Linked DNA regions of Xenopus tropicalis. The protein of the gene in region 2 interacts with the protein of the main gene of each other region in a pairwise test. Links are inferred from orthologs where the notes say so. Each region holds a gene or a part of one and is shown on either strand. Other genes may lie near its edges.

Region 1 (4,406 bases), on a different chromosome or scaffold from region 2:
CATGGAAAATGCTGTGTGTATGCATGTGTCACATAACCTCAATTATTTTGTGTTGATGTTTTTAAACATACTGACTATAGGTTTACTATGTGCAAGATAAATGATAACTATCAGACCAGAGTATTTATATTTTTGTACACACCTTTATGCGACACATGGATGCTTCGATCTTCAACTGCTCCACCATTTTTCTTGCTTGTCCCACACTCAGAGTGCTGTTCACTGGTGTGTCGCCTTTCATTGTGCTGCATAGGAAAATACATACAATCATGGATGTACTGTGTGTGTGCATAGATATAATATAGAAATAATAAATATTAAGGATATTTATTTTATTATTTATGCACACATTATATTAGCTATTGATATATATGTATATCCCAGAGGACATAAGGGCATCCCTTGGTACTGGAAGACAGGAGGTTTCATTTTAAGGTGTGAAAAGCATTTTTGTAGTGAGAGCTGTGAAGTTGTACTGCAGCTCTACTAGCAGATGCAATAGAGCATTTTAAGAAAGGTTTGGATGGATGGTTTGGAAAACTAGGCAGGTTTGACTAATGATATATAATGTAATATTGGAGTAAATAAAGCCAGATTTTTTTGGAACAGAAAAAAATCATTTGGTATATAAGCAGCTATATGCACTCCCACCTCTTTGGGCCTGGCATAGAAGAAGCTCTCTGACCATACTAAAATAGACAGTTGTGCATGGGGAGGCTACAAAATGGGCTGCTGTACATATGAAGGCATATACTGTACCTACTACAAGTAACCAGAAGATAAACTTCTAAGGTGCCTTTAAAGGAGATGTGTAAAAAAAAAAAACAAGAATGGGCCAGTGCATCCTAAATATAGAAGGAATGTGCTTAAAGAAGATGTTTAAGGCTGCTGATTTATTAAAAAAAAGTCTCCAAAAACGCTACTAGTCCCGCCCATCTGTTTCACCTGCTGCTACCTCCTTTCCCGGGTTGAGCAGGTAAGCCAGTGGCACTTAGCACACTGCACGGTAGTGTAGTGCCAAAAAAGGAAAAACATTTCTAGTTATAAGAAACATATTGATGCATATTTATTAAAAGATGAAATAGAGATGGCATCAGTGGGCATTTAAGTTGCGTTCTGTTTGCTTGTATGGGATTTACAGAAGCCAATAGGACTACACGAATCAGCAAATAGAGCGGCAGGTCCTACCGGCTTCTGTAACTATTATTCTGCAACCACAAAATTAAAAAAAGGTAACCACTATATAACATTTTTATTTATATACACTGTATGGCCAAAAGTATCTAAACACTTGCCTGTCCAACATCTCGTGCCAAAACCCAGGGTTAGAATATGAATTTGGTCTGACATTTGCTGTTAAAATCATTTCTACTTTGCATGGGAAAGCTTTTCACTAGATGCTGAAACAGTTGTTGGCATTTTGACCTCAAACACATTAGTGAAGTAGGGCACTGATGCTGGGGATCAGTCAGCGTTCAGTTGGGTTAAGGGCACTCTCTTTGTGTATGAGGGTATCATAATACCTAAACCTGAATAGGCCTTCCCCACACTGTTGCCACAAAATAAGAAGCACGGAATTATCAACAAAGTAATTGTATGCTGTAGAATTAAGGTTTGCTTTTACCAGAAACAATGATCTTGGAACTATAAAAACCACAGATTGCTGTTCTTTAGGGTTGCACCAAATCCACCTTTGGGGAATTCAGCCAAATGCTGAATCTGTCACAAGGTTTTGACTGTATCCAAACCATAATTTGCTTATTCAAATTAGCACAAGGAAATATCTAGTAGTAGCCTTAATTGTGTGACCCAAAGTCACGCGAGGATTTGTTTCGGCCAGTCAATTGGATACGGCTGAAATCCTGCTAGAAAAGGCCACGATTCGGTGCATCCCTGCTATTTTTCTTTTACCAGACTTCACAGTTGGCTTTATGCAGTGCCAGGCCAAAAGGTAAGGCAATCATCTGGCTGAAGCACACCCCCACATTGTGAAGTTAGGCTAGTGTGCAATTGCTCAGCCATGACAAAAATGAATAGATTTTGTGCTGATGTTGCTATAAGAGTTTGGAACTCAGCATTGAGTGTTAAACTGAGGAGATTATATACATATAATATTGCTCATATAAAGTGTCCCAATACCTGTGCCATATAGCTTATTTATTTAATCAGATATAAGAAAGTGGCTAAATCTCTTGGTCACCTTTTGAGCAGGGGTACCATGTATTATTTCTGTAGTTGATAGTGGTATCCCTTAATGTAACCCCAATAACTGCCCTACACCTACAGTACATGTAGACTGTAATAAAAAATATTCTGTGCACGATTCCATCTCTAGTGACACAAGCTCCACACCGCCTCATCCTGGGTTAGAACATTGTGCAAGTTAATATAAATATACACCAGCATATACACATGATTCCTTTGCTGGCAAAGATCTGTGACTGAAACGTAGCCCTGCCCTCCATCATTGCTGAATATTAACCAAGTGCTGTCATATTTTCCAGAAGTAACCATAACCAGTGCAGACAAATTCTTATTGTGGAGGGGCCCTGTAACCTGATTTACTATATGCATGCTCTTCAGCCATTCATTCTGTCATATCCATCCTCCGGTATTGTTACAACAATTCATTTTCTCCATCTCTGTGCTCAGCCCTGACTTGTGAGATCCTTTGGCCTGAATTACAGTATGCATGCTCTTCATTCATTTACTCCTGTGATATCTATCCTCATCATCATCCCCCCATGATGCATTTGCCCATCCCAGTTTCCCGCATATTCCCCTTTCTACAGATTTATCTCCACACAATTCTAGGCCATTTGCAAGGATGGAAGCTGCAGGGAGGGGCACATTACTCCCAATGGACAGCAGGCTAACATTTAATGAATAGTGCATCACTTGACATAGTGCATCCCATTACAAAATACACTCGGTGCCTTCCTTCTCCTCTGAGGTAGAAAACATAGTTTGTGGTACCCACCTGTCTGTCTGGTAGTGGAGGGATACAGGATGCTGATCAGTCGCTTTACTGCAGCTGTACCATATACACACACCCTACAACAAAGCAGAGGGGGAGGAGAAACCAACTGAAGGAGGATGGGAGGGTGAAAGGAAAGGGAGGGAGATAGAGGACTGAACGATTTAAAATGAAAACACAGTGCTAAGGTTTAGAGTGGGGTGAGGGAGGGGATGAAAAGGAGAAACAAAAACAAAAGGAGGAGAGATGGTAGGAGCGACTGCCCTTATATATTTTAATAAAATTATTACATCTTTATGTAATATCTATATTTATCTAAAACATCTTTAAATCTGCAAACTGAGCATATTATTTTTTATTATTATTATTAAATTGAATAATAAAGTACTACAATGTTTTGCAGTGCTGTATATGTGGGTACATTGCAACTAATTTAAAGGCACTCTAAAACATTGGGTAAAGAGGGCTCTTCCTGCAAGAGCTTACAGTCTAAAGCAAGCCACAAAATATAAAAGTAGGTAACAGCATGGGGAAGTTCATGTTGGCACTCTAGTACCCGGTGTGTATTAAATCAGCCTGTAATTGGGCACATGCAGAGAATTTCAGCTAGAAAATGCACGATATTGGGTTATGCAAAGCCTTTATACTGAGCAATACTGAGTAACAAAACCAAACAAAATTGTACCTAGGGTCACCATGGTAAAATACCAGCTAGGTGTTACCTGTCTGAGTGCTAATGAACATTTATTTTAATATTACATTTCAATATTACAAGATCGTAATTAGGGATTCACCGAATCCAGAATTCAGGTTGGGATTTGGGCAAGATTCGACCGTCAGCAGGATTCGGATTCGGCCAAACCGACGCTCCTGGTCGAACTGAATCACGTGACTTTTTGTAACATAAACATGGAAGTGCGCCATGCGTGCACATATCTAAATTAGAATTCAGTTCAGTATTCAGACAAATCCTTTACGAAGGATCCAGGGTTCAGCCGAATCCGAAAATAGTGGATTTGTTGCATCCCTAATATTAATCTTCTAACCCCCTACTCTAATATGATAAGTCATGGCAATATGAGAGAGCACCAAATTAAATGTCAAGCACACTGCTGTAAAAAGTAAATCATTACTTATCAGTGAAATGTTTTATTTTAGAAAATTGATGGCCTATGGTGCCAGGGGCGCTGCCATGAGGTGAGTCTCAGACGGCAGCACCCGCGAAGTTACCAGGGGATTAAGGTGGCCATACACATTCAGATTTAAGTCCGACAAACATTTGGATATTGATCATGTGTTTAAATTCAATGATCTGAAACTAACATTTAGACTAAAATTGTAGGATAAAGCCCTTAAAATATGTTCTGAACATAAAATAGTTGGCAGACACCAATCGTAAGTGACTTCCATTGCAGGTCACCCAAGGAAA
Region 2 (3,829 bases):
CCGTATGGGAGTTAAAAAGAGCGTTCGCGCATGCGCTGGCGCTTTGCGCATGCGCAATGGGGAGCTGGCGCTTTGCGCATGCGCACTGGGGGCGCGCTTGCGCATGCGCAACGGGAGCGCGTTTGCGCATGCGCACCGCGGGGTGCGCGTTCGCGCATGCGCATGGGGGACTCCCACAGGGGCGGCCTCGGGGCGCACCAAAGAGAAATCCGGCCCTGAGTAGAGGCTTGGCAGAGCATCACCAGAGAAGATACTTAGCACCTGGCAATATCTATTAATCACAGACTTCAAGGGATATGCAACAAAGTACTAAACATGATTGCTTTAATGTAGCTACCTAAAGTGTTGTCATTTCTACATAGTGAAACTTAAATGTATGCAAAGTCAATAACTTTTTAAATTGTGGCAAATAGAGTCTCCTTTTACAGTATGATATTTGCATTTATGCTAACTACAGACGGGATCAAGTTAAGAATGCCAATAAGTGCAGGGAAGGTGGCCAATAGCTTTTTCCTTAAGTTGATGGCCCCAGCTTTCCTGCATGTTGCTGGAAGCCCTCTGATGTTACTGGCTAAAGAAAAACACCTTGGCCAGCCCATACTTTAGTGAGCTCTGTAGCTTAGAAATGCCCTTGCACATGACTGTCTCAGGGGAAGGCCTACTTCTAAATAGGGTATGTTTGTCCATTAGTGTGTCTCCCTTGGGGCTGTGCTAGTGTTTCTGTCAGTATGTCTGTCAGTGCCAGGTTTAAAAGGTGTTGGATTTCCTGGTACAGAACAGCACTTGAAGACTGGATCCAGATGATTTCTCTTTTTACTCTTATTTGTGTGTCCTTTTCTATTTAGGGCTGTGACAAAAAGGCAATGGTATGGGACATGCGGACAGGGCAGTGCATCCAGTCGTTTGAAACCCACGAGTCTGACATAAACAGTGTCAGGTCAGTCCTTTCCCATGCTCTGTGTTTGCTTTGCCTAAATATAAATTTAGCTTATTCCTGTTTTACATATGGCATCAGGTATCAGAACAGGTTTATGCTATACATTTAGCCTACACAGGGAAATGTACCATGAAACTATTTCCTCTTAAGCAGACAATCAAAGTTAGTGGGGAATAGTTTATCTCATATTTGGTATGTATGTGCTTCCTTTTCTTTGCATTTACACATGAGTGGGAAATTCCATATCATTTGTCTAAATACAAATACATATTGTTATAATGATGGCATTATTGATTGAAGAAATATGTGTACTTGTACTGCATATAACAATGTAAGCCCACAGACATGCTGATATCTCAGGCATAACACTCAGGTTTGAGGCTTGATCAAGGGGAATGAGAAATATAAAATCCATCTTGTTATAAACTATTTATGTCTAATAAACCAAGTAAACAATATCTCCTGGTTTAAGGAAGTCTCTTAGAAATTATGATAGTAATTTATTCATGTTCTACAGAGAATAAACTTTATTGTATAAGAAACCCTCATTCTAGCATAAAACACCAGGGGCTACTATAAAACTGGGGTTTGGACAGGTATTTTGTCTGAACAAACAGAAGCACCACAACATTAGGTGATATCCCATGTGTAATTTGGCATTTAATCCTACAGCAACGTAATAACTTAATGTGTTATCTCAGCATCTGTCAGGTATTCTTTAAATGACTAAATTAACATATGCAGTTATACATACTGTATGCTTAAATGGTGCTTTCAGATGTTTTGCATCTCTTCTAGAAATGTGTATCACTTTGTGGGCCAAGTGGGTCAGTTGAAAACATCAGTATAAGGGCTGTTACACACAAACATTTGCCATGCATTTGCTGCACTGTTTCCTCTGCGGGGAAATGCAAGAATAAGCGTTAGTGTTTGTGTGTACTACTTTAGCATCAGTCCCTCTCCCACTGGATCTATCTAAGAGTGGCCATACATGGGCAGATTTAAGCTGCCTATTCAGTTGATTCATACTATCGGCAGCTTATTTGCCCGTGTATAGGGCCCTCCAACAGGCCTACCTGGTTTAAAAATCATATTGTTGCGAGGGGACACATCGCCTGCCAAAATGATTGGATCAGCCCAATATTGCCCACCTTGGTGCTAGCCATTACAAAGAGCTAATCATTTATTTATAAAGGCTTGTATTTTTTATGCCAGATTAATGTTGGAAACTATGCCATTATTTTACACCATCTTACACCTGGAATCGTCATGGAAATCATGGAACATATTTACCTTTAGAGATACAACTCATTGTGTTTATGGACAGGCGTATGACTTCCTTATACTGTATGATTTTAAAGGTGCTACTAATTAGCCCAAGAAGGCTTCATTAAAATCATATGACTCCATGCTATAATTATCATCAAAGCATTTAGCCTGAATGGTCAATTTGCATTGCCATGAAGCTCTTTAAAGATCTCTTAAATCCCTACTTAATTGCTAATAATATTTGCTCTTTCTGCCCAGATACTACCCAAGCGGAGATGCATTTGCTTCTGGTTCAGATGACGCCTCGGTAGGTTTTAGCATCTATTCAGCACATAGCATGTTGTACTTGGGGCTGTATCCATATTATGGGGCCAGTTAATTAATATTCAGTCTTTTTTAGAGATTGGTAATTATGTTTGCATCTCTGTTAAAAAATACATAAAGTTCAGGTTTAACAATCTCTTTTCTCTGGAAAGATACTTTGTTTGAATTGTTAATACCATCCTTGAAATTTGCATGGGGGATTAATGATTGAACATAATGTTGTTCAACTGCTCAAAATAAGAACACAATCTGTCAAACTGGCATATTTATGAACATTGATTAAGCTGTCCATTTTGTCCTGTTAAGTATCTTGACAGGAAAGTGTTATTAAATGTGAAAAAAAATGGAACTGCCTAGTTCATCTGCCCCTAAATGATTTTTTCATTAGTCACCAGCTTGCACATTGCTTTGGCATTCTTCACAATACTTTAATTGCAGGGAGGTACTCATCCTGATTATTAATTTTGTATTATGTATTACTTGTTTCAGAAACATGCGAATTGTCTCGTGCATGACTCACGCCAGCTGAACTCTGGCCAAGGATTGCTAGGCATTTCATGATGGTTTTAGTGTGAGAACAGAAACTTAGGAAATAAGGGTGGCAGAAGGAAATGACATAGTAGCATAGGTATGGGACAGAGAGAAGAGGAGGCAACCAGGTCTGAACTGGAATTAAAATAGGTGCTGCCATTTCTAGTACACAGAGGCCCAAACAGACTAAATAGTGACTGTCTATGGAATCATACAGTAACCCCACTGGCATTTGCCAAAATCCACAGATTGCCAGTCCAGGCCTAGAGGCCAACAGATAGAAGCATACATAGGGAGAATATATGCAAAGGCATAAGGTATCATTCACATGCAGAGGTCAAAGAACACAATTCATCCAGTTCACCAGTTCACAAATACCTCAGACTAGAATGCACAGAAATAAACTGAAATATATTTTCAAAAAAATACCACCTATTGATGCACCTATTCTAAGCAGCTTTCCTTGTTCTTTATTCATTTTAACTGACCCCAGCACCAAGAAACACATTATGCTTGTGAGGATTCAGGTTAAGGGGCAGTTTTACTAAAACTTGAATAAACTTGGCCATACATGCACCAATAATATCGTACGAAACCTGAATGTCACTGGAGGGTTGGAACGATCTTTCGTGCGCCGATGGTCGCACAAACGATCGAAAATTGCCACATGTGTGGCCAGCTTTACATTTACTGTGTGGCCACACATCACCAGTCTGTGTGTCTCCCTGAAGCAAAAGCAATAAAAATTTCAGGAGCTGTGCTACTTAC

The links.
Region 1: the proteins of gnb5 (region 2) and gng3 interact in a two-hybrid assay, tested with the Homo sapiens proteins (2 studies listed by BioGRID, with this or other methods). The link is inferred for Xenopus tropicalis from reciprocal best matches to the Homo sapiens genes GNB5 and GNG3.

Annotation. Positions count from the first base shown.
Region 1 is NC_030680.2:34,651,765-34,656,170, forward strand, and holds the start of gng3 (guanine nucleotide-binding protein G(I)/G(S)/G(O) subunit gamma-3), read right to left. Parts: upstream 3,035-4,406; 5' UTR 2,981-3,034; intron 246-2,980; 5' UTR 242-245; coding exon 143-241; intron 1-142. UniProt on the Homo sapiens protein: Guanine nucleotide-binding proteins (G proteins) are involved as a modulator or transducer in various transmembrane signaling systems.
Region 2 is NC_030679.2:102,066,115-102,069,943, forward strand, and holds part of gnb5 (guanine nucleotide-binding protein subunit beta-5), read left to right. Parts: intron 1-845; coding exon 846-937; intron 938-2,464; coding exon 2,465-2,513; intron 2,514-3,829. UniProt on the Homo sapiens protein: Enhances GTPase-activating protein (GAP) activity of regulator of G protein signaling (RGS) proteins, such as RGS7 and RGS9, hence involved in the termination of the signaling initiated by the G protein coupled receptors (GPCRs) by accelerating the GTP hydrolysis on the G-alpha subunits, thereby promoting their inactivation.